Linked DNA regions of Elephas maximus indicus. The protein of the gene in region 4 binds, or shares a complex with, the protein of the main gene of each other region. Links are inferred from orthologs where the notes say so. Each region holds a gene or a part of one and is shown on either strand. Other genes may lie near its edges.

The links.
Region 1: UXT (region 4) and PFDN6 share a complex: the UniProt entries of both Homo sapiens proteins name them as parts of the PAQosome complex. The link is inferred for Elephas maximus indicus from reciprocal best matches to the Homo sapiens genes UXT and PFDN6.
Region 2: UXT (region 4) and ASDURF share a complex: the UniProt entries of both Homo sapiens proteins name them as parts of the PAQosome complex. The link is inferred for Elephas maximus indicus from reciprocal best matches to the Homo sapiens genes UXT and ASDURF.
Region 3: UXT (region 4) and PDRG1 share a complex: the UniProt entries of both Homo sapiens proteins name them as parts of the PAQosome complex. The link is inferred for Elephas maximus indicus from reciprocal best matches to the Homo sapiens genes UXT and PDRG1.

What each region holds. Positions count from the first base shown.
Region 1 is NC_064819.1:96,082,219-96,088,689, forward strand, and holds PFDN6 (prefoldin subunit 6), read left to right. Parts: upstream 1-4,703; 5' UTR 4,704-4,955; coding exon 4,956-5,019; intron 5,020-5,267; coding exon 5,268-5,338; intron 5,339-5,425; coding exon 5,426-5,550; intron 5,551-5,797; coding exon 5,798-5,927; 3' UTR 5,928-5,965; downstream 5,966-6,471. Other genes in the region: WDR46 (WD repeat-containing protein 46), read right to left, coding at 1,473-1,572, 1,764-1,899, 2,020-2,170, 2,264-2,368, 2,569-2,630, 2,763-2,850, 3,393-3,505, 3,651-3,731 and 2 more. UniProt on the Homo sapiens protein: Binds specifically to cytosolic chaperonin (c-CPN) and transfers target proteins to it. Binds to nascent polypeptide chain and promotes folding in an environment in which there are many competing pathways for nonnative proteins.
Region 2 is NC_064824.1:87,826,220-87,834,171, reverse strand, and holds the start of ASDURF (ASNSD1 upstream open reading frame protein), read right to left. Parts: upstream 3,006-7,952; 5' UTR 2,936-3,005; coding exon 2,840-2,935; intron 998-2,839; coding exon 944-997; intron 1-943.
Region 3 is NC_064843.1:37,504,004-37,511,745, reverse strand, and holds the start of PDRG1 (p53 and DNA damage-regulated protein 1), read right to left. Parts: upstream 3,021-7,742; 5' UTR 2,939-3,020; coding exon 2,852-2,938; intron 1,013-2,851; coding exon 937-1,012; intron 1-936. UniProt on the Homo sapiens protein: May play a role in chaperone-mediated protein folding.
Region 4 is NC_064846.1:123,951,526-123,959,306, reverse strand, and holds the start of UXT (protein UXT), read right to left. Parts: upstream 3,013-7,781; 5' UTR 2,958-3,012; intron 2,932-2,957; exon of another isoform or gene 2,885-2,931; intron 2,779-2,884; 5' UTR 2,770-2,778; coding exon 2,672-2,769; intron 1,702-2,671; coding exon 1,620-1,701; intron 1,487-1,619; coding exon 1,419-1,486; intron 1,062-1,418; coding exon 954-1,061; intron 1-953. UniProt on the Homo sapiens protein: Involved in gene transcription regulation. Acts in concert with the corepressor URI1 to regulate androgen receptor AR-mediated transcription. Together with URI1, associates with chromatin to the NKX3-1 promoter region.

The DNA.
Region 1 (6,471 bases), on a different chromosome or scaffold from region 4:
AACAAGAACAGCACACTAGAGCTGATTAATCTTTATTATCCCCAAAATCTCAGCACAGACCCAGCACACAACAGGTGCCCAGAGGGTGCCTGACAAAAGAAACTCAATTAGAGGAAAACACACTGAAACTTGTATTGGGGGGGGGGGGGACGGACAATATAAAAAGCTGGAAAAAATGCAAATACTCTCTAAGGAAGAGCAGAAATCCAAAGTAGACACACCACCCCTACCCCTCACATCGCAGCCAGGACTTAAAATGAACAATCGTCTTTAATGACGACAATGATGACAGCAGCACTTCCAACTTGCTAGGCCCCATGCTAAGCTCTCTATGTGCCTTAACTCACTTAATGTCTACAACAGCTTTATGAGCTGGACCAAAACCACCACCAAATCCATTGCCATGGAGTCGATTCCAACTCATAGTGACCCTATACGACAGAGTAGAACTGCCCCATAGAGTTTCCAAGGAGTGCCTGGTGGATTCGAACTGCCGACCATCTGATTAGCAGCCGTAGCACTTAACCACTATGCCACCAGGGTTTCCTGAGCTAGACCAGGGGTTGGGAAACTAAGGCCCATGGGCCAAATCTGTCTATTTCTGTACAGCCCACAGGCAAAGAATGGCTTTTACGTTTTTAAATGGTTAAAAAATCAAAAGAATACTATTTTTACACCTGAAAATTACATGAAGTTCAAATTCCAATGTTCATAAATAAGTTTTATTGAAACACAGTCAAGCTCATTCGTTGACTCTGTGGCATGGTTGAGTGTTTGTGACAGAGGCCACATGTGGCCCTCTCACTGCTTCACACTGCTGCTCGGAACACCTACGATTCGCAGTGACTCAGTTATAAGCTGACAGCAAGTGGAATGCCTCATATTCTACCTATCTCATCACCCGTCTGTGTAAAAAGATGTTTTCCAAGATGGAATACATAAAAACTCTGCAGATCGGCCTTGTCCGGTGAGCATTCGCCATCGAGTTTGATGCTCTGGCACACTAACTTTGAACCTCAATTAAGCACAATGCTATCCTCAGACAGGGAATCTGATTTTCTCAGTCGTCAACCTGTATCACACTACGCTGTACTCGACGATCACTGGGTTTTCAGTTTAATCGCTAAAAAGATCCGTGACGATTTTTCTGTCTTGCTTGTCAAGTAACTACAATAAGGTCCTCAATTTCGCCACATGGCCTTCAAAGCCCAAAATATTTACTATCTGGTCCTTGACAGAAAAAGTTTGCTGACCCCTGAGCTAGACACTCAGCTCCCCATTCTGGGGGTGAGGGAATTACAGCAAACGGGGGCTAAGTAATACGCCCATAGTGACATAGCTAATAAGTGGCAACGACACGATCTAAACCCAGGCAGGCCAGCTGCAGTCTGTACTCCTAAGGACACATTAACTTCCATACCTTCCTGCCCCACCGTTACGCCCAATACCTCATCCCCAAACAAGTGACTTACGTGCCTGTAGAATCTACTGTCACAGCCCGGACCCCACCACGGTGACACAGAATCTTAGCCAGTGGCTCTTTCACAGCTGGACTCCATAAAGACACAGTACCTGAAAGTCAGAGAAGAGCTAACGTTACAGATGGGATGCTGAGGTAGTCACACCTGGGAAAGATGAGGACCTAAGACCAAGAGATAACGACAGGAAAAGGTAAAATGGCAATTTAGGGCCACGCGAAATACAAATACAGAAGAAAAGCAGGTCAGGATGGCCAGAGAGTCGCAGCTAAGCCAGGGACTGACCGTTGCTGTGTCCGAGATGGATGACGGCATTATAAGGGTTTTGAGTCATGACATCAAGGCGTCCAGCCCGAGCATTCAGAGCTGTCACAATCTTCCCTACCGACACATCCAGGTAGGTCAGGAACCCTGTCTCTGACTGAGAGAATGAAAATGACTGAGTACTGATTGTCCTCTGGCCTCCCTACACTAGGGTTCCAGGGGAGGAGCGGCCTTCCCAAGGGCTGCCACCCGGTCCCTGTGCTCCACAACCACTTACCGCTGTGGTCAGGAGGAAGTGGAAGGGCAGGAACTCGAGTCGCGTAATGCGGTCACAGCGGCGGATGCAGTGGAGTTCAATGCCTTGGTTGTCATAGATGTGAAGCCATCGGTTCTGAGCGACAGCAAGCAGTGCCTCTGAGTGCAGAAACCTGGACGTTCAGTGGGAAAGGGGTCACAGGCTGTCATTCCATCAGAGAAAGGCTGTCTTGGCCCCACCGACTGCTGACTGGAAGGCCACTGACCGGATGTCCCGCACAGATTCCATGACATTGATCTCACACATCAGCTTCTTTGTTACCCAGTCAAGGGCAGCCACATGACCCCGACGCCCTCCAAAAGCCAGGTGTCTGTTGGAGAACAGGGAGAGGCAGGGTATCAATGCAGGGGAACACGCTGACTCAGACAATTTGAAGTCTGCTCCATGCCAGCCCCTTCTCACCAAGTGAGAAGTGAAATGTTACCGTAGATGCTCACCCCTATGTCCACGCAAATCACGATCCCCTCCCCTCGTCAACAGCTCAAGCATATTACTGGAATTCAACTTTACCTCCCAGTTCGAGAGTAACTCAGCCTGTAGGGTCCAAACTGCCGTAGATTCAAATCAAAGTGCTGGGAAAGGGAGGAGTAAAAACAATCAAGAAAGAATAGGCTCCCTTCAGCAACTCCTGCTTCTAGTTCCCACTTCTCTCTGCCTTGCATCACTAATAGATCCACTGGCCCCCTCACCACCCTCAGGCTCACCTTGGCTGCACTGGCAATGTCCACAGCCTCCACGATGTCAGCCTGACATATCTTTGCCGTGTCCTCCCCATCATCCCCTTCCAAAAATCTGCAAGAGAGGATTAGGACTGCAGTAAAGCTTCCTAATATGGTGAAACAAAAATTAGAAGAAGGAACAGGGATCACAATAGAGGACCCCGAACAGAGCTAGAGAAAAATGTATAACAAAACTCTAACTCACAAAAAAGAGACCAGGCTTACTGGTCTGACAGAGACTGGAGAAGCCCTGAGAGTTTAGTTCCCAGACACCCTTTTAACTGAGTACTGAAGTCACTCTTGACGTTCACCCTTCAGCCAAAGATTAGACAAGCCCATAAAACAAAATGAGACTAAACAGGCACGCCAGCTCAGGGCCAGAGATGGGAGGTCAGGAGGGGCCGGGAAAGCTGGTTAACAGGGAACCCAGGGTCGAGAGGGGGAGAGTATTAACACGTTGTGAGGTTGGCAACCTCCATTACAAAGAAATACGTGTATCGTTTAATGATAAACTAATTTGCTCTGTAAACCTTCATCTAAACTACAATAAGAAAAACAAGAAAAGGGAGCCCCATAAAGGAGGAGCCAGGAAAGCCCAGATTAGGATCCACTCACCCAGGTTCCTCAGCAAGCACCAACTCAGAACGAGCAGCTCTGACACTGGTTTCCTCTTCCTCAGCTTCAGCCACTTCAAGTCTCTTTTGAGTTTTGGATTTAGAATGCAGTAGCTATAATAGCGTCGGTCAGGAAGGGGTCATGGAAAGAACCAGAGAATATGTGAGGTGACAGGAGAACCACCTGGCCCAACATCTATCCAACTCACCAACACACCCTCTGCCTCCAATCCCTCCCCACTTTCCGATCGGTCCTCACCTTTTTGGATTTGTCAATGCGACGGAACTTCAGGGCCGCCTCCACAGGGACTGGGACAGGGCCTGGGAATGGGTCCTGGGCCTGGGGCAGGGAGAAGGTGATTAGCAGACATGCTCGGGCTGACCCAAACTCTCTCACCTCAAAGCAAGATGCGCCTTGCCCCAGCACCCCATCAGGCCCCAATCTTACCCCAGACAAGGTCCGCTGGGGCACCGGATTTCTCCGTTCTCGAGACTTCTTCGGAACCTGGGGCTTCTTGGAGATCCTAGACTTCTTTTGGATGTGAGTGTTCTTTGTTCTCCGGCGGCGGAGCTCCTGCTTCCTCTTCTTGCTACGAGAGGGTCCTGGGGAGGCTCTAGCAGCGGTCGGTGAGGTCTCTTCTTCCTCCCAGTATCGCCGAGGTTTCTACCGGCAGATGAGGGACCCTGATGCTCCGCTACCCACGACCCTTGCACCCCCGGACCCTGCAGTTAAAAAATTCCCTTCCCTTCCCAGAGAGACCTCTACCTTCCTCTTGGACTGAACTCTATTTTTCTTCGGTGGGACATCCCCACCCGGCTTGGGGGCAGTCTCCATCAAGCCCACCAGATGATGATCCACGTGCAAACTCCTCTCAGCTGTCCCACAGTAGGCTAGGAAACCCCCGGAAGTGCTCTGATCCTCACCCAATGAGAGCCGTATACCAGGTCTGAAGCCCTCTGGCGCCATCTTAAGTGAGGGTGAGCGCTCCTTTGCGAGGCGGGGTTGTCTTGGCTATGAGTCGGAATCGACTCGACGGCAATAATACGGGTAGTCCTTCGCACCTCCATCCCGAACGGCAGTTTTTGCTCTAGTAATAATGCCACTGTGGATTAAAGAACGCCAAATCGCGGCACCAAGTAACAGTGAAGTTTTTTCCATCTAAGTTTTCCCATCTTGCCTAAAATCTTCTCAGTCCAGTCTTGTTAGCAGAACGCCTCTCATCACACATGTCAGAACCACACTTCCCGGCGTGTCTCAGAAGGCAGCGTCCGGCGCCGTCTTTTCCCAGCATTCCTTGTTTACTTCCGGGGTTAGTAATTCTAAAGGGAGAACGTGAATAGGGCGAGCTTTCGACTGAAGGGGTTGAGGTCTCGTTTCACCTTATTCCTTGGGGCTGGGACAGAGTCGATATTCGCAACGGGGAGAGGTTGCGGTGTCCTGAGGGGCTGCTTCTCAAGAGTGCTGTCTGTTCCGCCGGCCAGGCCAGGAAGGGAAGCTCGGGTACCTTCCAGAGTGTCAGACCCAGCGCCCCTCTCCCGCTCCTCGCAGGTTGTTGTCCCCGCCATGGCTGAGCTGATCCAGAAGAAGCTACAGGGAGAAGTGGAGAAATATCAACAGCTACAGAAGGGTAAGGGAGCAGGGTCGGTGTGGCCTCACCCCAATCTCTTCACTCACGCACAACCCAAAACAGTAACCAAGACAAAATTTTTCTGCCCCACCCACGCCCCTGTGTGAAGCCCCATCCCCTCCTCAATATTCCCCGTATCCATCGACCCATCTTTGTCTATTTCTTCAGCTCCATTCTCCTGACTAGGATTGTAAGAGTCGGGTGGCACATTTGATGTCTCTCATCATGTTTTTCCTTCCACTTCCCAGACTTGAGTAAGTCTATGTCAGGACGGCAGAAGCTTGAGGCGCAACTAACAGAAAATAATATCGTGAAGGAGGTGAGGGACTGGAATTTATGGGGCGGGAAGTGACTGGGATTTGTGGGGTGATGGTTCTGATCGTATATGTCCCTCTCCTCTACTCAGGAACTGGCCCTACTGGATGGGTCCAACGTAGTCTTTAAACTTCTGGGTCCTGTGCTGGTCAAACAGGAGCTGGGGGAGGCACGGGCCACAGTGGGGAAGAGGCTGGACTATATAACCGCTGAAATGTGAGTCTGTCCCAAACGCTGTAATGCAACTGACACTGTTGGAGTAGTTGCTGAGGAACCATTGTAGAGCAGCTCTGCACAGTGGCCCCTGATTGTGCAGTCCTCCACATCCTCCTTCCCTTTTAACCCTCCATCTCCTCCCTCCCCTAGATCTCAGCTTTGCCACTTATCTTTCTTGCTTTCAGTCTTTCAGTAGTCTCACTAATTTTTCCTTTTCTGTTTCTTTGTCTTCCTTGCCTCTCCTCAGTAAGCGATACGAATCCCAGCTCCGGGACCTGGAGAGGCAGTCAGAGCGACAGAGGGAGACCCTTGCTCAGCTGCAGCAGGAGTTCCAGCGGGCCCAGGCAGCAAAGGCAGGGGCTCCTGGGAAGGCCTGACCCTGTGGAGGTGGGGGGAGGGTGGGGAGGAGGGAATGAGGCAGCTCTAGATCTATACTGTAGCTAATAAAATGTGAAAACACTTGGTTCTGTTTTCTGACCAGCTACTCTGTCAAGTTTCTCTCTACATATTCTTCTGGCCCCTTCCACCTTATATGCCACTTACATTACTGTCTGAGGCCCATATTTTTGCAACTGGAGTCTCTCTTGGCAGGGCAATCTTTTCCTTCTTTCTTGAAACCAAAACCTGAAAGGTCTCAAATTTGTTTCTTGCCTGCATTTACAACCCTTCACATTCCCTTATCTTGGTTGGCGTGACCAACCAAGGAAACATGGGCAGGGCGTTTACAATGCAACATAGTGTTAGGAATATCGGTTTAATTGAAGAATCACAGTTCTCTAACCTGAGACCTCAGCATGAAATGTGGTTACCGTCCTTGCTATGAATACTTGTCATCCTTCCAAGAGCCATGGCATCTCTTTTAGTTCTTTTTAGTCTGTTTTCTTAGAATTTGTTTGTAGCTTAAACTGATGTAAATTCCCA
Region 2 (7,952 bases), on a different chromosome or scaffold from region 4:
ATCAGTAAATACTACATTGTGAACACCTTTTCTTATGTTAATAAGTATTCTTTTACAGTATTACTGTATGGATATAAAATACTAGTTTTATTTGCTCAGTTCCCAAATCTTAAGACATTTGTGATGTTACCAACTTTTCACTATTATAAAATCAATGTTGTGATGAAATATCCTTGTAACTAAATCTTTGTGCACACCCGTGATTCTTTTCTAAGCATCAATTCCTAGAAATGATACTACTGGGTCAAGCTGTTACAGTTTTAAGACTTTGATATGCTCTGCCAATCTGTCATCTAGAAAGTTCGTTTCAATTGCGCCTTAACTTCTAATATTCCACAAAAGGCAATATTAGAAATGTCTAACCTGTTATAAAATAATATTTTAAATCCTTTAAGGAGCTAAAATAATTTCCTCCTGAATTTTAAAATGTAATTTTTGGTAACTTTGGCAGCTTGCTCATGAATACATTTAAAAATCGTGTTAAGCACTTCAAAGATTGAGGTTATTATTATTGTTTTTTGGGGGGTGGCAATTTTATCATTTTTTTTTGTTGTTCAACAATTATCCATATTCATTTATAGAAAGTTTCCTCTCTTTTCCATATATTTAAAGTTAATTTATTACAAAAGAAAATATCAAATTCAAGTATAAAATAAATACTATTACTGATTACAGCAGTAAACTACAGTACCCTTAGTATCATTTGGTCCAAAAGTAATGTGGATAGCACCCACCCAACCCACTGCCGTCAAGTTGATTCCGACCCTACCACATGATGGGGGAAAACCATTTTCAACATTACACACACGTTAAAAAAAACTTTTTCACTTTTGCAATTTGTTAACTAAAAAGATGTTGAAATCCTAAACATTTTAACGTTAGATTTATATAAACCATATATGTAATTTTTAATAAAATATAACCAATTACTCTAATAACTCACCCTGTTTTTCTTCAGGTTAGAAAGTTCATCTACAACAATTTTTTGTTCTTTAATCTATAGAAATAAAGGAAAAAAAAATCCTTAAATCAGGAGTTCTCAAGGTATGTTCAAAGATGGTCCTTTAATTGTTTCAGAATCAGAAATGGAATATGGGACTATTATGTAGTGATTTTCAAAATGGGCAGTCTGTGAATATACAGATTCTTTTCGCAAAGTCTGTGTGGGATGGAGGTGGGGGAAAGTTGAAGGGGGAAGCAGTGATTAGACTGGCCAAGGGTTGCTGGTAGCCAGAATACACACCAAGTGGTACGGTAACCAAACAAGGTTTATATCTTCTATTAAAAGCATATGGTATGCACCAAAAGTATTAACAGTTTTTCAATTAATTCTCACAAGCTGTGTTATATTTTTTATTTAATTCTGAATGGGATAAGGGGTGGGCTACTTTTTTCAATTATTAGTGGTTTTTATGATTTATGAACTAAATGGTGTAGCTAGACATCTGAAACAAGCAAGTAATGCTAAATGCCCTACTTGTGGCAGTAAGACCTATCACTTCCCATTGTTGCTTTATTCATTTCTGTATTTCAAAGACTAGCACAGTCCTGGCACTACTGAAAGAGGCTTTGCTTTATACTAGCATGGGAGCATTCAGCTAAGTGAAAACTAAGCAAATAACTAGTTATTTTGACAACCTGACAGTTTCGCTACCCAAACGCTAGTGGCTCTAAAATTATTGTTCACGGTCTTTTTTTCTACCTCACACACCTGGAGAATATCATATATTAATTTAAGGGACTTGCTATGGTAGTAACAGGAACATGCTGTGTAGTTTAAAAAACTACCCCCGATGTGTGTGCACCTTTGTGTCTCCCTAGCTGATAATCAAGGTTCTAGTAATTGACTCGATCAGGTTGAATACCAAGGTTGAATTCATATGACCTCCCTGGGATGAAAGTAGTAATAACAATAGGTTATGTCTGAACAGTACTTTTCCTATTCATTTTAGGAAAGCAGGTATAAATTTCACTTACATACTTCAAACAAGGAAAATATGATGGAGAGAGATTAAAGAGACCTGCCCAAGATGTCACTGTTAGTTTGGGACAGAAGCAAAGGATACCTAATATCTGAAAAGCTGTAACTGCTCTCTCCCCATATTTTTAAAGCTTTTGTCTATTGCACGAAATTTTTATATTGCCTCCCCTCCCCCCCTTTTTTAAAAATAGAGTGACAATCAGATACATGTTTTAGGATTATTACTCTGGCTGCTAAATGGTGAATAGATTAGAAAAAAGTAATGGTGGATGGGGAAACACCAGTTGGGAAGGATTTGAGAGAGTCCCAATGAGAGACGATAGTGGCTGGTCTGGGTTGATAGCAGGGTAGACGGTGGTTAAGAGTCCAGGGGCTTCGGAGGTAGAAGTGACAGGACGTTGTGATGGAAGTCAAGGATGGCTCGCCTGTTACTTGCATAGCCAACTGGACGGACGGTGGTGGCGTTTTCTGAGATGGAGAATACGGGCAATAGAACATCTAGGAGAGGAGGGCGGTCTTTCTAAAAGTTTTAAAAGGTAAAGTGAAAAATTTTAAAAACCTCCGTCCCACTGCTACCTAAGTCTAACCTTGGAGCAACTTTCAGTGTCTCCCTTACTACAACTGTTTAAAAGAAGGCAGCTGCAAAGTGTATAGAGCTGCACATAGTGCCATGAGTAAAAAGTGCACACCAGCTGGGCAAAGCCGAGGCCCGACGAGTCACGCACTGACACTGACCCACCGGGTACCAGGGACCGAGGATGGCCAAGCACGCGGGGAGCGAAGGAGCCGCGGCGGACCATCTTTGGGGCCAGTGGCGCCCCATCCGGGGCCCGTGAGCCTTCCCGCGTCCACACTTGCCTTGCTGTTAAGTTCCTCTTTGTGCGGGGTCGAGTTGTCGGAAGGGACCAGCTCAGCGCTGTCCTCCGGATGCGCCCGGGAGCTGGGCATCTCCATGGAACGCACGAGGCGAGGAGCACAGAACACCTCAGGCGCCCCAGCTGGAGGCAGCCGCCGACCTCTGCGCGTGCGCGCCCTCAGCGGCTCCACCCCCTCCCTTTCCGCTTCCCGTGAGTCCTGCTGACAGCGTCTGCGCACTAACCCGAACGCCTGCGCAGTCTGGGTCTGGCCTGGGCGTAGTTCGGCGGTTTCGCTGAACCTTTTCCGGCGCGCGCCAACAGAGCCTGGTTGTGAAATCTGAGAGCTTCTTCAAGTCTACCTTGGGGGATGGGTTGTAGAAGCGGCTTTTGAGGACTCTTCACTCTTTCTCCCCTAGTAGACTGCGGCGTTTCTCCCCTGTCGTGGAGAGTCGCTATGAGTTGGAATTGACTCCATACCAGTGGGTTTACTGCGGGTTGTAAGCGTCACCCAGTGGTAAATATAAAGAATAGGAATACCGCTAAATTTTTATTATCTACGGGGGGTAGCACGTGAGGCACAGATGTAAGAGCTGTAAGGTTGACAGCGGAACTGTACAAACTCGGTAAAATTTTTGTTAACTCGTTAGCAGGGTTACAAGGTAAAATACAGGAAAAAAAAAAGAGGCACAGTTAAATTTGACTTTCAGATAAAACAGTAATTTTTATTATATATATATGTCCCATGCAATATTTCTAATATTTCACTCCTGTGAGAAAAATTATCAAAAATTTGGAAATAGGCAAAAGAGATTACTGAGTGTTCTTTCAGTGCTGTTTTGTCCTTTTTATTGACCGTATTATTGTACAATTCTGTAGGGGCAGACTTTAACTTGTGGAGTTTTGTCAGGTATCTGTTGGACCAGGTTACTCCAGAGGTTATGATTTATTGTTCAGTTAGACATTAATCGGTTTTGTATCTAATTCTATGATCGTATTCTAACATAATTTTAGTAATACATCCCCAGCATCCCAAATGCTCTTTGAATTGGTTTTAATGTCTTCCCAATTCTCTATATAATTAATGAATTGAATAAAACTTTGACATGTGTTCATTTTATATTTTCATGAGGGTCATGGTGTTATACTTTTGAAAATTACACTTTACCATTGGAAACTTGAGATTCCATGGAGATACCCAAGTGGGACCACCTGTGGAGCCAAATAAATTGTATCACTGAAGAAGTGCACCTCATGGGTTAAGCCCAGTCATGTCTTTATTAGCTTTTAAAGTAAATCCCAATTGGTTATAGACCTAACTTTACTCTCTAATTTTTTTTTTCCCACTCTTCCTATTTAAACTTGTGTGTGTGTTTCTTACTTGTGCCTGGCTGATAAGTCATTTAACACTAGTAGCGGTAATGTTTTGGGAGTTTGGTTTTATGATTTCACCATTTAGTGATACGTCAGGTGATGGGAGGTATATTTTCTATTGGAAGAGACATTACAGGTTATTTTGTTGTTGTCTTCTTGTGAGCTCAAATTAACAGTTTTGTGTTCAGTGGGAAGGAGAACAGCTGTGGTGGTTGATTAGCTTTTGTGTTTCTGTGTTTATTTTCCACTGGGGATTGAGGATACACAACTGAAGCTGTAAGCTCTTCATGTGTCTGTGGGTCTATAGTTTAAAAAAGCCTTTATATCTCATTGTGTAAATGTAAAATGTTTTCCTACTTCTGGAGGATGTTAATACTTATAATGGCTTTTAAAGGAGTCAGTTCTGACTGGTTTGTAGTGATACATAAATTTATAATCCCAAAATTCACAAAAAATAAATAATAAAAAGACACTGAATTTCTAATACTTTGTGCTAGACTTTTAAAAAACATGTCCTTGATATAAAAGCTGCTAGGTCGGAAACTTTTTAAGAATCCAAGTTCACATAATTAAGGTGAGTTTTTGGACAAATTAGACTGGTTTACTAATTTTTGTTTAAGAAAGGACTGGTCTGTACATTTATTATGCCTGATCGGTCAACATCTGCCCATCTGTAGCCCATCACACAACTAGGTAGGCTGTTCTTTTTTCATGCATCTTTCACTTAAGACCATTGCTGTCATGTATCGTTCTTAATAGGATAATTTCATGGTTTTTTTAATGATACTTGTACTGCTCCCCTGATGCTATGTTCTCAATATATTTTAACTGATTCGTATTAGCCTGGCTTCCAAGTTTCTGAATTAATAGTCTCCCCCGCCCCCCATTCTTCCTTGCTTTCTCATTGTACTCCAACACAGAGATTCCTTTCTAGCCACATAAGTCGTTGTCTTGTCTCTTCTAAATGACATGTGGTATAGTCCTGTGGTTCTCAAATACTAGTCAGTAGGTGGGTGCAGTGACATCACTAAGGAGGTGGGGCGGGGTGTGGTCTGTACCAGAAGACACTGTCAGAGGGAGTGACACCAAAATAACCATCTCTAAAATTTTTGTGCAGTGTTTCACTAGAAATTTATTTTTTTATAAAAATATTCCTGTAGTTATAACAACAAAACTTTTTTTCTTAGACTCAGCTTCATGTATCAGTATATCTACAAGACTAATATTCTATGCTAATTTACTTTTTGAATCTTCTAATGTGCTCCAGTTAGAACTGTCATTATTACCTAATTATAATGATGCTTCGAATCACATGGTTTCATCATGTGCTACAATATTGCGGTAATTAGTATGGAGGGTGACACCAACCCTAGTGATGCTACTGGGTGGATGCCTTTCTCACTATATGAAATAACTTGAAAGTTTTGTTCAAATACATACAAATTTCACTGTGTTTTTCCCAGATTTGTAGACTCAGATCTTTGGGGATGGGATCTGGATGTCTGCTGCATAGAGCAGTCCTTACCATATACCTCACACGCAAAATGCCTGCATTTCAATCTTAGCTTCTGCATGTAATCTGTAGAATGGGGGCCTACCTCATAGGGTTGCTATGAGAATTAAATGAGCTAATATTTGTAGTGTGTTTATAATAATTTAAGAGTAAGCACTATATAATTGTGTGTTAAATAAGTAAATCAGAAGTTTCCCCAGATGATTTTGACAGAAGGTTTATGAACCAACGGGATGGAAAGAGCAAGACTCTGAGATAGTTGGCCCATTTCTTGTTGAAGGTACGTCCTCTCTTTTCCCTCTGTGATTCTCAACTGGAGAAGTGCTGTCCCCAGCTGATGCTTTGGAAAAAACATGGAAGTGCTTTTGGTTGTTACAATGATTGGATGGTTCTGTTAACTCTGATGGGGTAGGACTAACTGGGAACTATTTGAAGGGGAACAGACCGAGCCACAGGCTCTTAAGAAACCTAGACTAACAGGCCAAAGGGCAGCCTCAGCAAGCGGACAGCACTGGGAACTGTGTGGGGTGGGCCCTCGGACCAAATAATGAGATGAATCAAGGGTGATGTTGCAATCTAAGTAGGTGATTTCTCTCAGGAATTGTGTCAGAAGATAACAGGGCCTGAGATACTGGAGTGGTGTTTACCATCAGGGCTCTAGTACTGTGAGTAGGACTAGCCCTTTGCCATCGAGTCAGTTCTGTCTCATAACGACCCTATAGGACCGAGTAGAACTGTTCCATAGGGTTTCCAAGTAGTGGCTGGTGGATTCAAACTGCTGATCTTTTGGTTAGCAGCACACACAACCACGGCTTCTAGCGACCCTATTGAACAGAGTACAACTGCCCCATACAGTTACCAAGGCTGTAAATCTTTAGAGAGGCACACTGCTACGTCTTTCTCCTGCAGAGTGGCTGGGAGTTTGAACCACCAATCTTTTGGTTAATAGCCAAGCACTTAACCACTGTAATACCACAACTCTGGAGGAGGACTGCTGGGTATTATCACACAGACTTTGGGGAGAGGAGGCAGGATTTTAGCGATAGTAATAGAGCAGATTAAGCTGGTCTGCTTCTCAAGAGGAATTGCTGAGTCTTCGGGTACTGGGCTAGAGATGAGCAAATCCTTTCTACCGGAGGTAACCCAAACAAACCCAGTAAACTACCGGAGGTAAGAATGTGGAAATCACGCACCCCTGGCCTCTGCAGCAAACACCACGTGTGCAGGGCAAGGACTAGCATCCTGAAAGTTGCATGTTTCGTTAAATTTTGCACCCTAGGTGCTTCACACACCACACCTTAGTCTGGGATCTGCTCTCGTGCCAGCTGAATTTGAAGAGTTTATTATTGGTGGTTTTACCTTACAGTTTACTGGTCACTGTGGCTTGTGAATGACACCAATGAAAGATGCTTTATATGTTGTCAACGTCTGGTGTATCCTCACATGTCTTACAGCTATAAAGATGTTTGAACAAAATTACCTAGCTTCTTCTAGGACTTCTTCCATATGATTACCACAGTCCACCTACCTTCCCAAAGACTAAAGACATGTTCGAAAATTATGGTCTATGTAATTGAAGAAACAGAATTAAACGCAATCACCTCTGTGAGTTAGCATCACAGTGCATAACTGAGTCAGTTAAATAAAATAGTTATGAAATGTTTAATATCAGAAAAGTTACAAATAGTGATTAAATGTTTACTAATACCGAATTTGCAGTAAGATGCTTTAAAAACACGAAAATATATTCACCTGAGTAAACGGAAAATGATATGTAAATGATATATCAGTAATAATTATTTACATATTCAGATAATGTTTTTCTTTATAGAATGCCCTCATAATTCAGAACTCTTCATAGCTGGGGTATTTATGTCAGTTTATATTGTTAGCAATGCTAAAGTTTTACAAAACTGTTAATCAAAATCTGTTTATGACTACCTTGGGGTTGTAAAAACTTTTTTTTTTGGCTTTGTGAAACAACTTGCAGGAAAATACTATTTGTGTTGTCACAGTATAAGCAAGCAAGTTAGTTCAGGTCACCTGTGTTTACTTTTAGATTCTGTTGTTTGGTTTTAAAAGCATTGCTGTGCTATGTCCATTGACTTCTCTTTAGCAAAACAAAACAAAACATCACATGGATATGTGTCTATAATTCCCAGTGATTTTGTAATGGAAGTTGGGCATTCAAGGCTGAGATTAAATCCTGGGTGACCAAAGCCATGTTTGT
Region 3 (7,742 bases), on a different chromosome or scaffold from region 4:
AGGCAGAGGGAACAGGAACAGCAAACATCAGTAGTGTGCTTGGGGTGTTAGGAAGAGTGAGGAGACCAATTTGGCTGGAGTCAATGAATTCAGAAGAGAGCAGAAATGGTGTTAGAGAGTTCGTGGGGGGCTGGACTATGGGGGGGCCTTGCAGAACTTTTTCCTCTGGTGAAATGAGAAGCAACTGGAAGGTTTTATGTTCTCCACTAAACTTTAAACAAAACTCAAACTTCTTTCCCTGGTCCCCACAGCCCTTCATTATGGCCTGGCCTCTGCCTATCTCATGCCCTCCCTTCTTGCTTACTCTGCCACAGCCACTCGGCCCCATCTCAACAGTCCCCACCCCCTCCTCCTGGATATTCTCGACACCTACACCTGCTTCATGTCCAATTCTATCTTTAGCTTTCTCAAAATTCTCAATTATGTATTTCATGCTATTTTATTTATCTGTTAGAGTAGAAGGGCAGAAGCCATGCCATTTTTTATATACACCAGCACCTCTGTCTGTCATCACCAAGTGAGCCAGGAGGTAATGGTGTGTCACTGAGGTAGGTAGCTGAGATCCTGGGCTACAGTCTGTGTCAGGCCCTGTAACAGTTCCCCCTATGCCCACCGAAACCAAAAACCAAACCCGTTGCCATCGAGTCGATTTCGATTCATAGCAACCCTATAGGACAGAGTAGAACTGCCCCATAGAGTTTCCAAGGAGTGCCGCCAAGCAGATTCAAACTGCCGACCTTTTGGTTAGCAGCAGTAGCACTTAACCACTATGCCACCAGGGTCTCCCCCCATCCCTGCAGGCTGTCTGAATTCCCTATGAGGCTGACAGTCATATACCTGTGGCCTCCGGCCTGGTCTCTACCAAGGACAAAGCGAGGGCCGCAGAAGGAAAACCAAACAGGCCTCTAGGGCCACAGTGAGGAAATCTCAACTTACCAGAGAGGCTGAGATCCTTCTGCAGGGCTCTCAGGGCCTCTCGGTTCTGATTCCGTTTGGTGTCCAGGTCCACAATCTGAAAAGCAAAGGGACAGGTGGGAACTCAGCTACCTCCTGCCCCAGCTTGTCACCTTCCAATAAAACAGGGGCTGGGAAAATAGTAAGACATCATTCCTAGGTTTCTTTCAACGGCCTGCTTAAACTGGCCTGTGAATGTGTTTCTTCTCCTACTCACCTTTCAGGTCTTTGAAGACAATGTTTTGTGCAAGGATTGTCCCCCTGAGAAGGTGCTAGAAAATGTTTGCAGGCTAAATGGCTAATTTGTCTTAGCTACTGGAGCATAGGGCATATCAGAATCACCAGGGGAGCATGTTTAAAAGGCAGATTCCCAAACTTCCCCCCTAGACACTGTGACTGAGCAGGCCTAAGAATCTCTAGTTTTGGACAAGCTCCTTCAGCTGATTTTGAGTTAGTATCACAAAAAACTCAAAATACTAGACTGAACAGCAGGGGTAGGGGCAGTGAGAGGGTAGTAACAACCTAATAGCTACTAAGGAAGTGAGGGGGCAATACAGTGTACTGCTTGCGTGCTGGCTCTGGAACCCAAGCACCTGGGCTTGAATACCGCTGTCCCTTACTAGCTGTGTGACTTCACCTCTGTTTCCTCCTCTGAAAAATGGGGAAAAGAACAGTACATACCTCCTAGGTTACTAAGCCACCAACGAAATGAGGTAGCACTGTGCCTGACACACAATAACTTTAACTGCTATTACTATTATCGACCACCATATGTCGGTGCAGTTTTTCACTTAATAGGCCCTTTCCCAAGCCACCCGCTTCTCAGTAAATGCCCCGCCCACCACCCAGTCATTTTAAATGGAGAGGAGACAAAGTCATAAGTCATTTTTTTTTGTGAATATATACACAGTAAAACTCCTTCCCATTCCAGTTTCTAAATATAACGATCAGTGACTTTGCTTACATTTTTCACGTTGTGTCAAAGTTCTTGTTATTTCTGTTCTAGTTGTTTCACTTCCATTTACTATAAGACATTCTTGACTTCTCCCCATCCCTCAGCCCTATATGTAACCATTATCACCTCCTCCTGAGTCAGTCCATCTCCAAAATATATTTCTGACCCATTCACTTCTCTCCATGTCTCTGATCCAAACTCATCGCTAGCCTGAACCATGGCAATGGCCCCTTGTCATCTTCCTGCCTCCACCATTGCCCCTCTATATCTATGCTCCAGACAGCAGCCAGAAAAATTCTTTTAAAACGAAAATCCAATTACTTCACACTCCTCCATGACATCCCTTCAACGACTTGGCATTTAAAAGAGAAGCAGACCCAAATTCCCTATGTGGGTCTACAAGACTCTCCATGGCCAGGCCCCCCTCCTCCCAATCACAAGGCCTCTCAGGCTTCTCTTCTGTAACTCTTCGTCTCTCAGGACCTTGACAGCTGCGGTGCACCCATCAACGAGGGGACCCCGCAAATGAACTTTTAGAAAGGTGATTCCGGGAAACCGCCTGGAATGGGTAATGTAGGAGATCGGGAGGCACGGAGAGAGGGAACGCCTAGCACATAGTTGTCGTTGTTGTTAGGTAGGGTCGAGTAGGTTCCGACTCAGCGACGCCCCGTACAACGGAACCAAACACTGCTCACTAAGTACCCGCAGAATAAATGAGTGACGCGCAAGCGCTGTGCTAAGCGTTTGACCCACGTTATCCCACAACCGCCCTCGAAGTCTGTCGTCTCGGAGCTGCCCAACCATCATCATCAGGCCAGGTCAATACACTGCGCATCTGTGCGGAGCCGCATTCCGGACCCCGCACTTCCCTACCGCCTCGCCGCCAGGCCCCAGCCGCCAGGCCCCAACCGCCAGCCCGGGAGCGGCAGCAGCACCTCCCACCTGCCGCTTGGTCGACAACACCTCCTCGGCGAGCTCCTCCACCTCCACCAGGTACCGCAGGACCCGCTCTGCCTCCGGTGACAGCATGGTCCCCGCCAGCCCCCGCTTGGCCGCTAACCCACCTCCGGCTCCACGCCGGCTGAGCCCGCGCACGCGCAGCTTTGACAGCGCTTCCGGCGCGCAGGCGCAATTGAAAGAACGGCGGTGCGCAGGCGTCTACGCACGGACGTCTGCCGGACTCAGGGGTGGGATCTAGCTTTGGGGGAGTGGCTGGAGCGCCCCCTGGAGGGCCAGAGAGCACATCCGCAGCTCTGCTCTGCTTTTCCAGGTCTGGTATTTCTTTAGCATTTAGTATGTGCCAGGCAGTTTTAAATGCTGAGGATTCAGCAGTGAACAAAGCAAAGTCCCTACCCTCGTGGAACTTTGTCCTAGTGAGAAACATCAACAATTAATGACAAAACAAATAATTATATACTAGAGGAAATCCTGGTGGTGTAGTGGTTAAGAGTTATGGCTGCTAACCAAAACGTCAGCTGTTCAAATACACCAGTCGCTGCTTGGAAAACCTATGGGGCAGTTCTACTCTGTCCTACAGGGTCGCTATGAGTCGGAATCGACTCGAGGGCAACTTGTTTGTTTTTTATGGTAGGTAGGGAGTCCCTGGGTGGTGCAAACGGTTAGCATGCTCAGCTGCAAACTGAAAGGTTGGAGGTTGGAGTCCACCCAGAGGCGGGTGCTTTGGAGGAAGGGCTTGGCTATCTGTTTCCAAAAAATCAGCCATCGAAAACCCTATGGATCACAGTTCTATTCTGACGCACATGGAGTAGCCACGAGTCTTAGTTGACTCCATGGGAACTGTTTGTTGTTGTTGTTTTGTTTTTTACTGGCTTATGGCAAGTAGTGAAAAGGGCTTTGGACACATGGAAACCATTCTTCGCCTGTTTGAGGAACTTCAAGGAGGCCTGTGTGGTGGTGTGCTTATATTTAACCTCTGGCACCTTCAGTTTCCAGTGTATAAAATGAGAATGAATAAACGACGTCCATAGGACAGGAAGGAGAAAGAAATCGGTTTTAATTCAGTTTGCCCAGTGTTCATTGAGCCCCTGCATTGGGCCCAATGCCTGGAGGGGTTGCCCTAACTAAACCCAAGGAACGGTTGGGAAACTATGGGCAGTGAGCAATGAAGTACCAGCTCAGAAAAGAAGTTCTGGGAGTGCTGGAAAAGGACTTGATATATGCCGTAGGATTCGGGAGAACTTCCCAGAGGAGCTGGACAGATGGGAAGTAGCTCCCCGTCAGAACCAGAGGGTTCCTTAGAAATCTTCATGTCCAGCCCCTCATTGTACAGCTGGAAAACTGAGACTCAGAGAGAGGGGAGGACTTGGAAAAATCAACAGCAGACCTGATACTAGATTATGGACCTCCTGCTGCCCCAATTCCAGCTATTTGTTTCCCCTTTTTGACCCCTTGTAACTAAGCCCTTTCACACCCCATAGCAACCTTTGTACAGATGCGGTTATTATTGCCCCATTTTACAGCTGAAGACTGAGGCCAGGAGAAGGGCAGTGGCTTGTCACACAGCAAGTCAGGAGCAAAAGTGGGTCTGAATTGCTCAGTTCTCCATACCAAAACTGCCTCTGGTTGCTGAAAAACACCCTTCCCCAAAGTGTGGTGCCAGCAGCACACCCTCTTTGCCTGGCCTTTGGCTGCCTTCAATGACCAGAGACAGGGCTAATTTTCCCTGCAGCTGCCTGGTGTGGGGAAGGAGAGAGATTCATGAAGGATTCCTCACTGAGGGTGAATTTCTCGCCAAACCCAGGATGTTTTGTGTAAACACCTTCTGGTTCAGAAACACAGACAAAGGCCCTGTGAAGGAAAGAGACACATTTGTCAAAGGAAAAACGGGGTTCACAAGGCATCCCTGGGACCTGGATCTCAGGACTGGGTCTCCCCACCTTGGGGTCCAAGGAGGGTGGAACCAGGCTGACCCCTGACCCCTACCAGATAGGCCTGGAGTGGGAGAGGTTGGGGGAGGCTCCCATGCTGGCTGCTTCTTGGCTGTGACTGGCACTTAGAGGGCACCCCAGGCCCCTAGAAGGGTTGGAGAGGGGTGTAATATCCAAGACTTCCAGATGGTCAGAGCTGGAAGATCACTTATATTTCAGAACCATTTATTACACAAATATTTATTGATTTCCAGAGAGAGAGGATGGCTGCTGGACCAGGGGGGTGGTGAGCAATGGTCAGATCCCCAGGACCTTTGCACACCATCCTCCATCACCCTGGATTAGTTTTCTCCCATATGTTGAACCTACACAACTACTTCTCAGATTGGTGTCACCCCTCCCAAGGGCCAAGGGCCCTCACAGCTTCCTGGGCCCCCTGCCCCAAGTCTGTACTTAACACGCCATCTTTTTCCTCTAGCCATCTCGCTCTCCAGACATGAGCTCTGCAGGGTGGAGCCTTGTCTGTCTTGTTCATGGCTGTATCTCCAGAGCCTACAACAGTCCTGGCCGATGGTAGGTGCTCAGTTAACATTCATGGAATGAATGAGTGAACTCAACATGAGGCAGGACTTTCTAGAATTTGAACAATTCAAGGGTAATCGGTTCCTTATCTCAGGAGGTATGTAAGTCGAGGCTGGGGCCACATGGTCAGGATGTTGCAGAAGGGAGTCAGGCACTGGGTAGGGTGTTTTTCTAACCAGAAAAACCCTACCTGACCACACTGGGGCATGCCCCCATCCCTGGCTACCCCACCAGGCCCAGAGAGGAGCAGCTGCTGGGGCTGTAGTGTTAAGGGACTGGAGCCAACAAAAGCAATGCTCCCCCACCGCTCTTGGGCTTCTTTTTACATTTCTGTACACCCCTTGCCCCCAGATGCATTCAGTGACCAGCACCTACATGTCTCCTTGGGGAGGACTGTCCTCGGGCTAATGGAGCCTATTGGAGGGACTTTGCCCTACCCCCAAACTGTTAACTATCATTTCAGGGGCATGAGAGCCCACCCTCCTTGCAGAAGGGGTGATGTCAGGCAGATGCTGCCCTCCACACAACTCCTGAGGTCCCAACCCTGCTCGGCTTCCCACTCTCCCCTGCCCTACCTCCCTACTCCTTCACTGATCCAAACTCTCCACTCAGGAAAAACCACACTCCTCGAGGAGGTCCACAAGGCCCTACGGGACCTGCCCTGGCCTTCTCACCAACTCTCTGAGGCATCTCCTACCTCCTTGCTGTTCCTCAATGGGCCAGGCACGGCCCCACCTGAGGACATTGGTACCGCCGCTCCCTCTCCCTGAGCTTTCCGCTAGTATCTCTGTGGGCCACTCTCCTACCTCTTTGCTCAAATGTCACCTGCTCAGTGAGGCCCACTCTGACCACCCTGTGTAAAAATGCAGCCCGGCCCCACCCAGCACGTAGGATACCCTCCTCCGCTCTGCTTTTTCTGTTTTCTACAGCCTTTATCACCTTCAGGCTCAGCCACCACCGGCTGTCAGTGGAGGCTTGTGTGTGTGTTGCTATGATGCTGTCTTAGCCCCCTAGTGCTGCTGTAACAGAAATACCACAGGTAGGTAGTTGGCAAGAACAGACATTTATTTGCTCACAGTTTAGGAGGCTGGAAGTCTGAATCCAGGGCACCGGCTCTAGGGGAAGGCTTTCTCTCTCTCTCAGCTCTGGGGAAAGATCTCTCAGTTCCTGTAGACCTGGCATTCCCTGATTTCTTGGTGATGTCCACACAGCATATATCTCCCCCTCCGTTTGTGCTTGCCTCTCTTTGCTTAATATGCTCTTCTTATATCTCAAAAGTGAATAGGTCTAAGATACACTCTTCACTGAGACGGTCTCATTAACCCAACAAAGAAAACTCTGTTCCCAGATGGGATTACACCCACAGGTATAGGAGTTAGGATTCCAACACATATTTTGGGGGGACATAATTGAATCCATAACAGATGCTAAGTAAGCCCCAGTGGAACTTCCAGACTAAATGGACCAGGAAGAAAGGCCTGGAGATCTACTTTCAAAAATCAGCCAATGAAAATCCTGTAGATCACAATGACCCAACCCAAAACTGATCATGGGGATGACCCCAGCAGGGCGGGACTGGACAGGATTTTGTTCCATTGTACACGGGGCTGCCATGAGTCAGGAGGTGACCAGATGGCAGCTAACAACAACAACATACTATACAATTTACTTACTTACTGTGTTTACTGTTAATCTCCCTTTACGAAAGGAAACCCCCCAAAAACAAACCAAGCCCATTGCCATCAAGCCAATTCCAACTCATAGAGACCCTATGAGGGCAAAAATCTTTGTCTCATTTTTTCACTGATGTATCCCAGATGCCTAGAACAGTGCCTGGTCTGTAGTAGGTGCTTACTAAACATTTTTAAATGAATGAATGAGCAAAAGAGCCAGAATTCTAACCAATGCTGTTTATTCCTCAGGCAGGCTCTTGACCCCTATGCTGGAGGTGGAAGTGAGAGTGGCAGGTCATGCCAGGCCTTGTCAGCCAAGATGAAGGGATTGGATTTGGTTTTCCAATCAGTGAGAAGCCACTGGACGGTTCTGAGCAAGCACAGGACGTGATTGGGTTAACCTCACTAAAGGCTCCCCTGGCTGTAACAGCGTTGATAGCTGTTGTCAAGTCAACCCCCAGCTCATGTACAATGGCATCTGACTGTCTGGATCCATAGGGTTTTCACTGGCTGATTTTCAGAAGTAGATTGCCAGGCCTTTCTCCTGAGGTGACTCTGGGTGGATTGAACTGCCAGTCTTTCGGTTTGCAGCTGATCGTATTAATCATTTGCACCACTCAGGGAGTCCCAGGGCTGTGGTTGTAGGATGGACTAAAAGAGGCAAGGGTAGCACAGTGCTCTGGCTGTGTG
Region 4 (7,781 bases):
CCACTTTGATGCCACGCAAAACAAACTCAACTGGAGCCCACACTTTCTCCTCATATCACCTCACCATCCCCACTAACACAGACTACCACTTCATTCTGCTTCCGCATACCATTTTTAATTCACTCAACAAACACTGAGTGCCTATGCACTATTCTAGGCACTTGGGTAGACAAAATTTCTCTCTTTGTAAAACTTATATATTCATAGGAAGAGACAATGCACATTCAAAGAAGTAAATTACACAGTAAATATTAGGAGGTGATAAGTGCTGGGGGGAAAAAAGACTAAGGGAAGGGAATCAGGAGTGCTAGGGGTTACAGTTTTAAAGTTAGGTTAAAGAAAGCCTCGTTGAGGAAGTGGCCTATAAACAAGACATTTGAGTGAGGAGAAAGCCACATGGCTATCTGGGGAAGAGCACTGCAGGCAGAGAGAACAGCCAGTACAATTGCCCTGAGGTGGGATCATTCTTGGGGTGTTTAAAGAAGAGTGTGAAGGTCAGTGTAACAACAGCACAGTGAATGTGCAGGGGAATTAGCAGGAGGTAAAGTCAGAGATAACTTGTTTTACTGTTACTGATTTACAGGCTAACGAGACCTCACAGATCTGGTCATAATTGTACTTATGTATTTCTTTTTTATAACAGTATACTTAATATCTGTCTCATCCCTTAGAATGTAAGCCTTCAAGGAACCATTCTTTCTTGTTCACTGCTGCATCCCCATCACCAAACACAGACCCTGGCATATAGGAGATGCCCAATAAGTGTCTGATGAATGATAAAAAGACTGCTTATTATGTGCTGTGCCTGGGGCTCAGCTTTCCGTTCTCACATTCCTCAGCCCCAGCCCTGAGAAGGAGGGGAGATGGGTCCCTAAGTACCATCCCAGGCAGATATGGGGAGAAGGAAGAAGGGTACTGGTGATTTAGACACGATCCTCATAGAAGGGACTTACTCTGTGAGGAGACAGCTCTTACGATCAATAAACTTGAGAGCTTCTGCCAATGTCAGCTCCAGGAAAAAACCGTATCCAAGGGCCACATAGATTCGTGAAGTATCTGGGCTGAAGAAAGAAGTTAGAGGAAGCAGGGGGAAGTCCTTGCCACCATGTAGTATACCGTATAACTTATTCAAGATGTTTTTTGATTCCCCTCCCCCAAAGAAGTTAGAGGAAGCAGGGGGAAGTCCTTACCACCATGTAGTATACCGTATAACTTATTCAAGATGTTTTTTGATTCCCCTCCCCCATCTTCCCCAAATAGAGGCTCTAGGAGAGCAGGGATTTTGTTCTATGTTATTCACTGTCACATCCCTAGCACCTAGCTGTGTCTGGTTAGAGCAGATGCCTTCAAAATATTTGTTGAATGAAGGAAGGGGGATGCTGAATCCTGTGGGCTCAGAGGGGCAGGTAGACACTCACACCACTGTGTCAACGAAGAAGTTACAGCCCAAATCCACCTGCATATATAACTCCGAGTGGTTAGTTTCCTGTGGGGCCAGGGAGAAAGAGGAAGGGGTCAGTACTCACATTTTAAGTCAAGAGACAGGTTTTGGTCTGGGGTTTCTCCTCTTGTCTTCCTCCCTTGCCCACAAAAAAGGTATCCAACCTTGGCATCTTTACCTGGAGTCGCTCAATGACATTTCTTAGTTGAAGATATGTGGCCAGCTGCTCATATACTTTGTCGCGATGGTCCAGCACCTTTCTGATGGAGTGAGAGTCCAGTGGTGACCAACAGGTGACCCTGTCCCTCTTGGGATACCTCATATCTTGCCTCTGTGAGACCCTTATAGCCCCATGCCCTGAACAAGCCTTTTAGTGCAGAAGATAAGATTTTGGACTCTGCAGTCAGACGACTTGGGTCTGAATCCAGGCTCTCTCCTTTACTAGCTATGTCAACTTGGCAAGTAAGGAGCCTCTCTGGGACTCAGTTTCCCCATCTATAAAGGATAATGACAGTATTACCTCATGCAGTCGTTAGAATTAAATGTTATATAAACTGCTTAGAATAATATCTGCCGAATAGTAAGCTCTATATATGTGTTAGGTATTATTTATACTATTATTAATATTATTATAAATGACTGTCAATGCCTCTGACCAATCAGAATCTCTCATTCTCACCCTAGAAAAATCCTCCATCCCTTTTAGGATGCTCAAAGTCCTAGTTGTAAACACCGAACTTCCCACTTATATTAACAGTGACAGTAATTCTTCATATTCATTGAGCCTTTAGTATGTTTCAGACATCCACGCTAAATTCTTTAGAAGTATTTGAACACATTGAAAACACAAAACCACCAGATTTGAGGGCTCTGTCAACTTCTCCATTTCACAGATGAGAAAAATGAAGCAGAGAAAAGGCGACGAAGTACATGTTCACACAGATGACAAGTGGCCGAGCCGGGATTTGAACCTAAGAACTCCGGCCTCAGAAACCTAGCTTTTAACCATTAAGGGATGTCGAAGTCAAGCACGCGCAGACACGCCCTGCGCGCTGAACGCCCCGTCCCAGTCAAATTGCACCCCGGATGTCGCCCCTCCTTCCCGCTTGAAAGGGGCGCTGGGCCGGGCCAGAACGCCCCACCTGCCAATCAGAAAGCTCTGTGCTGACACTAAACGTTCCGCCCACCACGTGGAAGGTTACAACCCCCCGCCCCCCCACGCCCGCTCACTGCAGGTCCCGCTGAAGCACGTCACTGATGAAGGCCTCATAGCGCAGCACTTTCTCACTCGTGGCCTCTAGCGCCCGCCGTTTAGGGGGCGTCGCCATGATGAGCTCCTGAGGAGTGGGGAGAGGGAAGGCCGTTTTGACCACTCCAGTTTGGCCTCTTGCGCAGTAAATCTTCACCTTCCCAACGTTGGGAATGGGCTCGTCTGATTCATACCGGGAGTTGCGCCTTCCGCGCCTCCCAACTCTGGGATCCCTGCCACAGAGAGACACTCAAACGCGCCCCTTACCTCAGAGCCGCCGGGAACCAGAACGGAGAGTTGGTATAAACTGCGGCTTCCGGGTGGCGCGGTTAAATGACGTAGTGGCAAGCAGGCGGCCAATCAAATAGCCAGGTGGGGAGGCGCGGTCCTGGCGGAAAAAGATCGGTCAAAGGCGTGAAGAGAAGGGTTGGGCTTTACGGACTCTGAGGAGACCTGGAAGACCGTAGAGCGTGGAAGCAGGGACTGTATGGCAATAAACCGATGGGGCTGCGAAAGCTGCGTGAAGCCTATGCACGCGTGGCTGGTGGGGATGGAGCCTAATGGGATTTGGTGGGTCCTGGATGCAGGATGTAGGACTAATAGGGTCGCTTTAAGTCAGAATTGACTCCACGGCAAAAGGTTTTTTAAAGGGTTTAAGGGGATACAGGAAGCATAGGCAGAGTTAGAGAAGTGGAGTGAAGCATTTGGTGTTTAAAAGGGCCACAGAAGCAGATGGGCAAGAATTAATTTTGGTTCTGGCTGCCTGTGACCCCGTATACTCCCCAGCATGTTTTTTTCCTAATTCAAAATGGGCAACTGAGAGCTCGACATAACTAACGCCATGATGAACCTGTAAGTTTTTCTCCTTCCTCTGCCTGTCCTCTCCTTCACATACCTCTGCTAATGGCTTTGTTTTGACCAAATGTTAATAACTTTGTTTTAAACTGAGGCAAATAACATTTTGTAATGTCCGACAACCTGTGGCATACAACCCCCACAGGAAAATTGGAGCCCAGGTATATATCTGTATCTTTAGCCTAATGAAGAGATGTCTGGCAGGTATCTTTTGTCACTATCCTGTAATGAATGACCCCTCTTGAGCATACCTCCAGCTAAGTAACCACAAAAACATTTCTAACCCTTCTAAAATTCTATGTTGTTGTTGTTAGGTGCCATCGAGTAGGTTCTGACTTATAGCGACCCTATGCACAACAGAACAAAACACTGCCCAGTCCTGAGCCATCCTCAACAATCGTTGTTATGCTTGAGCTCATTGTTGCAGCCACTGTGTCAGTCCACCTCGTTGAGGGCCTTCCTCTTTTCCGCTGACCCTGTACTCTGCCAAGCATGATGTCCTTCTCCAGGGACTGATCCCTCCTGACAACATGCCCAAAATATGTAAGATGCAGTCTCGCCATCCTTGCTTGTAAGGAACATTCTGGTTGTACTTCTTCCAAGACAGATTTGTTCATTTTTTTGGCAGTCCATGGTATATTCAATATTCTTTGCCAGCACCACAATTTAAAAGCGTCAGCTCTTCTTCGGTCTTCCTTATTCATTGACCAGCTTTCACATGCATATGATGCGATCAAAAATACCATGGCTTGGGTCAGGCTCACCTTAGTCTTCAGGGTGACATGTTTACTCTTCAACACTTTAAAGAGGTCCTTTGCAGTAGATTTACCCAATGCAATGCATCTTTTGATTTCTTGACTGCTGCTTCCATGGCTGTTGATTGTGGATCCAAGTAAAATGAAATCCTTGACAACTTCAGTCTTTTCTCCGTTTATCATGATGTTGCTCATTGGTCCAGTCGTGAGGATTTTTGTTTTCTTTATGTTGAAGTGCAATCCATACTGAAGGCTGTGGTCTTTGATCTTCATTAGTAAGTGCTTCAAGTCCTTTTCACTTTCAGCAAGCAAGGTTGTGTCATCTGCATAATGCAGGTTTTTAATGAGTCTTCCTCCAATCCTGATGCCCTGTTCTTCTTGATATAGTCCAGCTTCTCGTATTATTTGTTCAGCATACAGATTGAATAGGTATGGTGAAAGAATACAACCCTGACGCACACCTTTCCTGACTTTAAACCAATCAGTATCCCCTTGTTCTGTCCGAAAAACTGCCCCTTGATCTATGTAAAGGTTCCTCATGAGCACAATTAAGTGTTCTGGAATTCCCATTCTTTGCAATGTTATCCATAATTTGTTGTGATCCACACAGTCGAATGCTTTTGCATAGTCAATAAAACACAGGTAAACATCCTTCTGATAGTCTCTGCTTTCAGCCAGGATCTGAGATCAGCAGTAATATCCCTGGTTCCACGTCCTCTCCTGAAACCGGCCTGAATTTCTGGCAGTTCCCTGTGGATATACTGCTGGAGCCAGTTTTGAATGAACTTCAACAAAATTTTGCTTGTGTGTGATATTAATGATATTGTTCTATAATTTCCACATTCGGTTGGATCACCTTTCTTGGGAATAGTCATAAATATGGATCTCTTCCAGTCAGTTGGCCAGGAAACTGTCTTCCATATTTCTTGGCATAGACGAGTGAGCACCTCCAGCGCTGCATCTGTTTGTTGAAACATCTCAGTTGATATTCCATGAATTCCTGGAGCCTTGTTTTTCGCCAATGCCTTCAGAGCAGCTTGGACTTCTTCCTTCAGTACCATCAGTTCCTGATCATATGTCAACTCTTGAAATGGTTGAGCATCAACTAATTCTTTTTGGTATAATGACTCTGTGTATTCTTTCCATCTTCTTTTGATGCTTCCTGCATTGTTTAATATTGTCCCCGTAGAATCCTTCACTATTGCAACTCGAGGCTTGAATTTTTTTTCAGTTCTTTCAGCTTGAGAAACGCTGATTGTGTTCTTCCCTTTTGGTTTTCCATCTCCAGCTCTTTGCACATGTCATTATAATACTTTGTCTTCTCGAGACACCCTTTGAAATTTTCTGTTTAGTTCTTTTACTCCATCAATTCTTCCTTTTGCTTTAGCTGCTCGACGTTTGAGAGCAAGTTTCAGAGTCTCCTCTGACATCCACCTTGGTCTTTCCTTTCTTTCCTGCCTTTTCAATGGCCTCTTGCTTTCTTCATGTATGATGTCCTTCCACAACTTAGCTGGTCTTCGGTCACTAGTGTTCAATGTGTCAAATCTGTTCTTCAGATGGTCTCTAAGTTCAGGTGGGATGTACTCAAGGTCATATTTTGGCTCTCGTGGACTTGCTCTGATTTTCTTCAGTTTCGGCTTGAACTTGCATATGAGCAATTGATGGTCTGTCCCACAGTCGGCCCTTGGCCTTGTTCTGACTGATGATATCAAGCTTTTCCATCGTCTCTTTCCACAGATGTAGTCAATTTGATTTATGTGTGTTCCATCTGGCGAAGTCCATGTGTATAGTTGCCGTTTATGTTGGTGAAAGAAGGTATTTGCAATGAAGAAGTCGTTGGTCTTGCAAAATTCTATCATACGATCTCCGGCATTGTTTCTATCACCAAGGCCATATTTTCCAACTACTGATTCTTCTTCTTTGTTTCCAACTTTCGCATTCCAATTGCCAGTAATTATCAATGCATCTTGATTGCATGTTCGATCAATTTCAGACTGCAGCAGCTGATAAAAATCTATTTCTTCATCTTTGGCCCTAGTAATTGGTGCATGAATTTGAATAATAGTCGTATTAACTGGTTTCCTTGTAGGTGTATGGATATTTTCCTATCACTGACAGCGTTGTACTTCAGGTAACTACGAAGACATTTCTAACCCTTGTAAAATTCTATAGAAGCTCTAATGTAAAATTGCTCTTTGGAACTCCATAGAGATAGCCTGTGTTGCTGCCAGTCCCCGGTGATGTATGCATCTCCTGAGAAAACTTTGTCTTTTGTGACTTGGTGTGTTTTATTGGCTGGACTGCTCCAGGGCACGGACCCTAATCGGGTAACATGTCGAAAAGAGGGTCTATCCTGTTTGATCTGTCTACCTAGATTCTGATTTTTCACCTGCGAAATTTGAGTTTAACTCCCGGTGATGGGAATGAGTGTGAACACTGAAAGATTTTTAAACAGAGACAAATCTAAAATTCATCTTTTATGACTCCAGCTCTGCGATCTGCAATCTATAACTGTGGGGTTAAAGCGGAGATTGACAAAGCGTTGTATCTAATCACTTCATTTAATACCCTTTGCCGTCAAGTCGATTCTGACTCATAGCGACCTTATAGGACAGAGTAGAACTGCCCCATAGAGTTTCCAAGGAGCGCCTGGTGGATTCAAACTCCCGACCTGTTGGTTAGCAGCCATAGCACGTAACCACTACACCACCGGGGTTTCCTCATTTAATAGGGGGATAAAATGGAGGGTCGCTGGAGTCCTCTGTCCAAGATTTGCTATCTTGTGGTTAGAAATAATTTCCCGTGTGTTTTATTTAAATATGTAAGCTTTTTATTAATGTATTTTTCATGCTTTCAAGTGAGGGACTGAACTTATTTCCCTTGTAAGATTTTTAAACAGAGGCATCTAACCCAGCCAAGTCCAGGCCGGAATCCCCCAAACGCCATTCTCGTATGCAGGGGCTTGAGCTCCAACCCCTATCGGAAAGACTTTCCAGAAAATCTGTATGTTGTGTATGTAAAAGCAAGGTTCATTTTTCAAATGCCGAAAACCTGACCAAATCTAGTTTTTCTTTGCTCATTGAACAAGGGTGTTGTATAGGAAATATTGAGATTAAAAAAACTTTCGTAACTCTCATAATTACGTTTCATGTGATTGAAACACACTAGGTAGTTAGACAAATATTACACCACCGTCTTAAGAAAGGAGCCCTGGTGGTGGTGTGGTTAACAGCTTGGCTGCTAACCAAAAGGTCAGTAGTTCGAATCCACCAGCTGCTCCTTGGAAACCATATGGTGTAGCTCTCCTCTGTCCTAGAGGATCGCTATGGGTTGTATTGACTCATTGGCAATGAGTTTGGTTTCGGTCTTATGAAAAGAAGGTGTTAAATTTACTATATACAACAGGGAGAACACTATCAGTGTTCTGATGGGCTGGAGGTGGGTCTGTGCAAGTTTAACTTAAATTTCACACACACAAAAT